2 linked regions of the Neurospora crassa OR74A genome follow. The protein of the gene in region 1 interacts with the protein of each later gene in a pairwise test. Links are inferred from orthologs where the notes say so. Each region holds a gene or a part of one and is shown on either strand. Other genes may lie near its edges.

Region 1 (4,318 bases):
GATGAGCATGAGCGATCAACGGCAGATTGTTGTACTTCATATACAACACAAAGAAGGTAATCAGGTTGTTTACGGTCGGTTCGGTTGCCAACTCCTTGCCCGCAATGGGCTCACTGATCATTGGGGGATGGGAGCGTTCTTTCGGGATAAGCAAAGGATCCCAAATAACAAAGAAGTCATCACCATCGAGGTCTCCACCAGAGCACATGCTGGGCACGTCTCTGTCCCCAGTCAAGGGGAACACCACCACGTCTCTTAGATGCCGCAAAGCAGGGACATCAACTGCCTCCACCACACGGATATCACCAGGATGGAGAGACGGGTTTCTGCCAACGACGCAGGTTCCAGTAATAACCCTGTACCCGCCATTGACATCATCGGGAATCTGTAGGAAGATCTGTGGAAGCTTCTCACTGGACACGTCTTTCCAGTCTTCAATGACCTTCATGTGCCCTTTCAGAGTGCCAGTCTCATCAACACAGCCGAGCACGAACGCACTCTTTTCGACATTGAGTCGCGCTTTCTCCTTCAACGTTTTGATCGACCATGATCGCCACAGCTGAAGTAGGGTGCGAACAAAAGGCTCCTGAGACCCCATAAAGCCGTAGGCAAGCATCTCCGCAATGATAGGTGTCATATGATTTTCATCAATGAACGTTTTCAGAATCGCCGTCGCCTTTTGTTTGTCCTCCATCGCCGCATTGAAGTCAGAAAGCTGCTGCTCCATCATGTCTACAAAGACTTGATCGGGAACACCAAGAGACGAGAGAACGGCAATGATTTGCCGGTTGAGAGTGGCGGTTGAGAACTGCGAGCATCTGACAACCTCAAGGCCATTGAATTCGGCAACGAACTTTTCCTGCGACTTCCGAATATGAACCTCCATACCCTTCACATCAGGCCAAGTTACCAAGACTCCCTTGCAACCTCCCATGCGGAACTGGTAAGCTGACGGCGGCGGGTCAATGCTCCAGTCATGCGCTACGATCTTTGCAAGCAAAGGGGAAATCTTGCCTACTCCATCCGTGAAGCAAAATCCGTCCTTTTCGACATCAGGGATGGTGACGATCCTCGGTGCCGGGATGCCAGGCACCAAACGGGTAGTTGAGAAACACTGCCCAAGTCTAGCCGCATACTTGGCAATGACCTTGATGTGACTGAAGCGGCCCATCCAGGCTCGCATCATATCGCCTGTCAAATTGCTCTGTTCACAGAACATGAAGGCTCCGGCTTCTCGAATCTGAGAGTTGCCAAATGCAAGGAACTTCCAATGCCACGGACCCATGGCAACCCCTTTCTCCAATACCCTGTACACACGCAAGAATAGGGGAAGTTCCGCTTCGCCGCTCTTGATACGTCCTTCAAGAACTTCATCGGTGAATTGAATGCGGATAAAGTAGTCTTGTGCATGTTTCCACTGGCGGATGACGCGGTTCGTGGGTTCGACGCAGGGGGTACTGAAGTAGATACGAGTAGGGGTGATGGTGACCCTACGAACCCAAGCGCAATGGTTGGGTATCATGAAACTAGTTGGGAAATAAGCTAAGGCTGCATGATCCTTGAAGAGTTCCATCGGGTCGAAGATACGCTTTCCAGCATACTCATCGGCGACGTATTCGAGGATGAGGCGAGCCCGATCTTTGCCGAAGCTGTTGTCATTATCACAAAATTCCATCAGCTTCTCAAGGAACGGCCGGTCAATGTTGTGCTCGTTGATGATTCCTTGCGATATGCAGACTTCAAGCTGATACCGAACATCAAACGGTAGAGAAATACGGGGCGGCGCGGCTAAAAGAGAAAAGTCGTTGCTCCAGGACCGTGAGGAGACTTGTTGAATGTCATGGCCGTATCTATCATCCAGAAAATCCCATACCTTTGGTTTTTGGTTGGGAAGCGGCTCGGGGAAAACAGTCAACTTAGTCCTGAGATTCCAATCGAGCAAATATTGTTGAACTTGATCCCAGACTCTTGTTGATTGTTGATCCAGTTCAATCCAATAGGTAAGCCACCGTCCCAGGTCAATATATTGGTGGTTCTCGGCGAGCGAAACTGGGTTTTTGCTGACATCGAGTCCAGGGCTAATGTCGACCACTCTCTCCCAGAGGTCATTCTCGCTCCAAGTCAGCCGATCCTCGCCAAATGTCTTTGAGACATCCCTCTTCCTGTACGCAACCGGCGGGTCCCGGAGAGTTATGACCAAAGCTTGACGATGCTCCTCGCCGACCATGGTTCTGCATAACTCTTTGATGACTCCAAACTTAATGTGGAGCTTGTAATGCTCATTTTGTCTGCGAAACCCACTAAGTTCGCGTTGGTAGTGGAGGGAGAATTTAATTACCAGTCGCATGCGCTTGAAATCGAACTCAAGTCTCAGGAAAGAGTCGGACGAGAGGGTTTGAACGGATTGTTTCTTCATGAATACCGCAGGCTGGACTAAGAGACCGAAAGACAGTGTTGAGGGAAAGACGTATAGAGTTTGCGGGCAAGTGTTGCCGAGCTGAGTCTTGATGGTACGTTCTTTGCGATCCTCGCGCTTTGGGTCCACTGTCTCGAGAGGCAGCCAGTGGTCAACAAGTCCAATCCTGAGTCTGCAGATGCCTCGGCAGAGAAAGTCGGTAGATAGCGGAGGTGGCTCAAAGCGAATCAGAGCTCTCCGGCCACGATCAGAAACATCTTGACGGTCCTCATCAAGTTCAATGTAGCTAATATGACCATACTCAGAGAAGAGATCGTGAAGGTCCTGGAGTTTAGCTCTAGGCGGCACATCCTTGACGCGAATGGCAGCGGTCCTGGCGCACTTCCACTCCCTGGAAATGAAGACTGGTTGTGTCAGAGAGGGGAGGGATGCGAATGAGGCTGGTTTGCCCCGTGAGAACTGCCGAAAAGCGCGAGGGGGAGGCTTGGGAGAGCTGGAGGAGGGTCGCGAGGTTGGTCGCGAGGGTGGTCGAGGTGTCGGTGTGTTCTCTCGATGTCCCTGCTGGCTGGATCTGCGGCGGCTAGGATGCCTCGGACGAGCGTCCTGATCTTTGGGGCTTCTGTCCGGCGACACAAGAATGGCATGCTGCGCCTGCTCTACCCAGTTGGGTATTCCTGACATGGTGGATGTCTGTCTTGGCTACAGTCAGCCTTCAGTTATTCCTTAGGATAGACTCAGATTCACTGGTATGAAGGGTAATGGGGAAGAGAATTACGAGACAGGTGCTTGATAAGGTGCAGGTGACAGTTGAGGGGTTGTGTAAGCAGTTACTGACTACACCTCTTCTGTTACTCCGTGGTTCGTATGTTTGATGATGTTTAGTCTTGTAGCTGGCGAGGAAGGCGGTGAATGTGAATGCGGAAAGAATCCATGCTCATGGACGAGAAGAGCACTCGTTAAATACCTCTACCGTAGGGTAAGGCATATGCGCCTCTCTAAACTTTGCGGGAGAGCACAATGCTGGGGTGGTTGCCGGCCGGGGTAACGGATGACTGGAGAAGTCTCGTCTTGGGACGGAAGATTTGATGGCCTCGGAGTCTCGAACGCCGGGCGGAGGAGGATACTTGTGGTAAAAACAAGTATCAGATGACAATTCCGTCGCAGAGACAACTGAGCTGCTCAGCTTCCGTTACAAGGTGTCTTATGTGTACTGGGACGAAAGAACATCGAAAAGGCAGTCTTGAGACAGAGGTGGTGGACAGGGCAGGAAGCGACGACAGAAACCGTAGATGTAGAGAAGGCCGTGAGCTGGGATTGAGCAAGGAGAATATTGTCAACTCACAGCTGAAGCTAACTGAGCTGCTTTTCCAACTACTCTTCCAATGTGTAAAGTAAAAAAAAATGTGAGACTGCCACTGATGATATTTGCTCTCGGGAGATAGTTGATTGACAGATGCCGTGGAGATGATGGATCCGGGGTGTACCAGAGGTACCTAGACAATCAATTTGTCAACTCCAAGATGCTGTCCATGTTGAGGCAAGAGCCCCAATGTTCCTAAGCTACCTCTAAGTATCTCTAGGCAGCCACCTGGGTATGGACAATTCAAGCAATTGTGAAACATTGCTTCGTGCCTTCTCCCTGCCGTCGTTCCTTCCTCCAATCTGAAATATGTGATAAGAGAGGGCCTCCCGTCGAGGTCACCGCTGCCCGCTTATCATCCGAACCCACTGTACCCACGGTTCGTTTCGTTGCAAGCTCCTCGTCTGGAAGATGGAACTTTCTTTGACGACGCCGGACATCAGATCAATTGATAAATGTAAACAACCCACATCTCCTCTCCACGGAGTTTCAACCAAACCGAGAATTATATACGAGTTTCGCTCTTCTTGATATCCTGTGCC
Region 2 (4,572 bases), about 4.9 Mb from region 1:
GATGCCCACATTCAGGAACGATTTGAAAACATGGGCTGCTGCAGGGAAGATTTTCATGCGCGATAGCATGACATCTCAGAGTGCAAGGATGGCCGCAAGGCCTAGTCTCTCGACACCTTTCGTGACACCCACCAGTATTGTCAGCCCAGTCCTCTAGCTCCTTGATCCAGATTTCATTTCCATGATTCTGGCAAACCAGAGGAAGCCCAAGTTCTCGGTTGACCATGCCCTGATCAGCGAATCTATTGAAAATAAGGCCCCATAGAAACGATGATTCGGTTTTAGCCTCGAGTAAGTTATTGACGTTGCCGAATATGTAGAACCCTTGCCGAGCGCGACTGATAGCAACCACAGCTCGGTGTGGGTTGTCAAGAAAACCGATGTTGCGCCCATAGACTGGGTCAGGGCTACGCACCAGGGACAAGAGAACAATATCATTTTCTTCACCCTGGTACGAGTCCACTGTGAAAACGTTGAAGTAACAGCCAGTGAGCGATGGATGCCCTTTTAGTCTTCTCAAGAGAAGACTTCGTTGGCCCCTGTAGTATGTCAAGATGGTTATCTTCTCACTAGACACACCATTAGACACAAGATACACAAAGAAGAGGGTGATCATTTCAGCCTCTTGGTCGTTGAGTTTGCTGTTGTCAGAAGTCGTTCGCTCAATCCATTCGTGATCGAAAAACCAGCAATTACGCCCACCCATCCCAGGGACATCCGGACGTGCTTGCGGAGATTGGACACTGGGGTGGTCGAGTAGGTTATTATAGAATGGAGAGACTATGCGTCTCAGCTCCGGCCTCATGCGGCGCTGTTGATTGAGCATGATGTGATTCATTTTCAGGTTGATGAGCCTTTCAAACAGAGAGACGTTCAAGTTGTACGGATGTTGACCGAGCCATCGAATGTCGCATCGAGGCGACATCTGTGCATGGTCACCAACCAGAACGAGCTGTTGAAGGGAAGGGTACAGAGCCGAGGTAATGTTTCCTTCCCTTGTTTCGGCAGCTTCTTCGATAAGCAGGGTATTGGGCTGTAGCCCGGCCAGAAACGCGCGGTATTTTGTAAGGCCGGTTGTTGTGCAGCCGATGACCGCAATATCTTGTGAGAAGGCCATGTCAATATCTTGCCGGGCTTTGAGTGCTCTGCGCCGCTTGCATATCTCAACGTATTTGGCCAGCAGCCCAGCCAGCGTCGGAGTGGTTGCTTGCACCAGTTTGGACTGGAGATGCTGGTAAACTGCACCCCTCCAGTCTTGGGGTATATCAAAGAGGTTATCATTCTCTCTGAGCAAGCGTTGTGCACGATGATTCCAGCTTTTGAAGTGTCCAGGCTCTCTGACCCACGATACATGGTCAGTTTTCTAAAACGTAGATACGACTGGACCATAAAAACATCGGGTAATCGTCAAACTTACTTTCCGGTCCATATATGCATCAATTTGATTTCCTTGCCGTTTATCCTGTCTGCGTCTTCTTCATCGTACGCGATGTTCTCTACGTCGCGCTCATAATCGAAGTCCTCGTCAGCTTCCAATGTTTCGGATATGAGAGGCTGCCTGTCGCGAACGATCCGAGCCGGGATTCGTGAGTCTCCCAACCATAAGGAAAAGGGACCAAGCTTCTCCAACTCCGGGCTTGTCTCCATTTCATCATCGTACAAAGACTCCAGCTGCGCTTCGGTAATGATGCCATGTGCATGAAGCTGGCGTGGGTCGATGAGACTGTCCCCAAACACACTGTCAACCAGTGCCTCTACTCTGTCGATGTTGGTATGACGGTCATCCTCCAGTTCCCTGAACCGCTTTCCACCCCCACCACGGGAGCATTTGCGGCGCATCTCATACAAGCTGTAAGGCCTCATGTCTTCTCTCTCACTTCTTGAGCCAAGACGCAGAATCTTTGCGTTCGCCTCAAGACAATGGCCAAGCAGCTGGTCCAAGGCATGATTTGTCTGCGCAGCGACAATGAGGGGCGGGTTGTGTCCTGGACACTTGCGGCGACTCGCAAGCATGACTTTGATTGCCTCCACCGAGGTAAAAGTTTTCCCCGTTCCTGGAGGGCCTTGGATGATGGCAAGCTCCTTGGAGACCATTCGATGAAGAGCGGATAGTTGCGAGGCGTCGAGAAAGCTGATACTTTCCACATCTTTTGGGAGGAGTCCAGAGAGCACATTGAACTCGCGCAGGGATTTGAGCTTCTCAAGGTCTGCAAGGGGTTGGCGCACAACAGAAGAGAAGTCCATAATAGGGCTTTGGTATATGAAGCTTGGTGTCTCATTTCCCCTGTGACTGCCGGTGATGTATTTGTCGATAGGAGTACTAAGTTAAACATGATTAGCCTGCGTGATACATTCAAGCTTTGATTTCGATTGCGATACATACTCTGCCTGCGCAGCCAGTTGCAGGCCGACCAAAGAATGACGCGAGGATTCAAAATAGCCGTGTTGGGCCTCAATCATAACAAGTTCAAGATCACAATCGAAGACGGCATCTTCTGGGTTGCCCCACATGAGGTCGACGAGTGGAGGGGTTTGATCAAGTCCAAGCAAGTACGGCCTTTGGGCAACCACGGCGACCTTGCAGATGGTCTTGAACTTGTCGGCTTTGGTGGTGAGGGCAAGAAGACTGCCGGGTTTTAGGCGACCGGACTTCAGCCATTTGATGGCTCTCTGCGGCATGAACTCAACACGCGCAAGAGGTCCTAATGTTGTCATGATGTACGACTTGATGCGAACCTGGGTATAAACGAACATGTGCTGATCGTCATCCTGGCGCAGTCCGTGGTTGTTGTTGTAGATGTAGTTGTTGACAGCGAATCGCAAACCTTCAGTGCCCTCGCGACGAAGGATCTCGTACTGAGCCTTCAAGTAGTCCTCTTTGGATTTCCAGGGCTGCCTTACATCATTCTCAGGCAGACCTTCGGCCTCTTTCTGGAGTAGAAGGATTTCCTTGGCCGTGGGAATTTCGGGTTTCGACTTCCATCCGTCTCCATCTTCAAGCTTGACAAAAATATTGCTACGGACGATCTCGTCTCTCTGTGGAGACCTGTGTCAGCAATACGGTTGACAAAGAAAGGATGGGAGTTTAGTACCGTAGCGCTCAGTTGAATCCACTCGTCGCGGTTGGCCATGTTGAGTGCGTGATGCGGAAGTGATCGGATCAGGCCAGACCAAAGCGGGCACCGCTGAGAGGATGAGGAAATGGAGATCGAGACAGAGAGACCCGTCCAACGTTGAAGACGATTGAGTAATTGTGGCAGACAATGCCCAAATACCAGTGGACTTAAAAGGAGCTGGACGCCAAATGTAAGATTGGAGGAAAGAGGAGGGAGGGGAACGAGGAAGCAGAAATGCTTCAACTCAAGATTGTCGGGCGAAAAACGGATGTACTAATATCCGACAAGCGGCCTTGAATTTGAACGGGGTAGAAATGTCAACGCCAACGACGGCAGCGTGAAATAGAGAGGCTGTAAGAATTGGAAAGCTACTTCGAATTTCATTGACACTGCGACCGTGGAAGGAAGGAGTGGGTTGGGTAGAGGATAGTAATTTCCACATACTTAACGGTAATGAACACACCGTTTGCATTCGAATTGGAAAGAACGAATGCCGGCCGAGGTTTTCAGTCATCTAACAATTTGTCTCATCAGCCGGGGAAAGCAAACACGAGGTGATAGAAGGCTGACATTGAGCATAGGAAGAAGACGAAAAGGCAAGTTTTCCTTCCTGGCCCTCTGATTGTTTTAGTATTCTTGCCCCAGTTTGTTCGTCGACTTTTGGTTTTCAAGCGTTTGGATCTATCAAACTGTAAAGTCGTGATGTTTCCTTCACGCAATAGCGATGGAAGAAGATCCGACATGATGTATTGTCTCATCCTGCACAAGAAGGCTTCACGTCCGGCCTCTTTGTTTGACAATCATATGGCCTTGTTTTTGTGAAACACTAAGGCGAACAAACCACAGGAGCAACTCTATCGACATCTATTAGCATTTTCTATCTCGGCATGGTTAGCTCAAGGTGAGCACGACAATGCAAGAAACGAACAACCGAATTCCAAGATCATCGGTTCATGAACAATGTATTGGGTTGAAATCCGTTACATTTGTTCTCTAAGATGCTCACGCCGTCAGCAAGACGTTCTCTTCCAGCAGCTGACATGATGATGTTGACGCGTGTTGGTGCGAACGATATTCCGGGGCCGCTCGGTGTGCTACCAGCCACGTTCTCACCGGCGATTCATATGTCAGGCCTTGTTCGAGTCAGTCTAGTGCGGACATAGCCCAAACTTCAGGAAATCACCAATGTTTGGAGCTGAGTTTGGACGGGACTAAACTTGGACGTCGGAACACCGGGATGAGTACTTTTGTATACGGATATGCTTTGGTATCAGTGGGATGATTCTTCATCCGAGCCGACCCTCAAGTATCTTTCCACAAGACCTCTTAGAGGTGGTTGTATTCGCAGGTCCACGAAGCAGGAGCATAGGTGCACTCTCTTGAACAGAATGCAACGACGTAGTCTCACAGCCTCGGTCGCCCTATTGTAGACCTTTGAAAGACGGACATTGATAGG

The links. The genes of interacting proteins can lie anywhere in the genome.
Region 2: the proteins of sad-1 (region 1) and sad-3 interact in a two-hybrid assay, tested with the Schizosaccharomyces pombe proteins (2 studies listed by BioGRID). The link is inferred for Neurospora crassa OR74A from reciprocal best matches to the Schizosaccharomyces pombe genes rdp1 and hrr1.

Annotation. Positions count from the first base shown.
Region 1 is NC_026501.1:968,278-972,595, reverse strand, and holds the start of sad-1 (RNA dependent RNA polymerase), read right to left. Parts: upstream 3,098-4,318; coding exon 1-3,097.
Region 2 is NC_026501.1:5,853,727-5,858,298, forward strand, and holds the start of sad-3 (suppressor of ascus dominance-3 protein), read right to left. Parts: upstream 3,132-4,572; coding exon 3,093-3,131; intron 3,037-3,092; coding exon 2,384-3,036; intron 2,321-2,383; coding exon 1,418-2,320; intron 1,338-1,417; coding exon 133-1,337; intron 39-132; coding exon 1-38. UniProt on the Schizosaccharomyces pombe protein: Has a role in the RNA interference (RNAi) pathway which is important for heterochromatin formation and accurate chromosome segregation.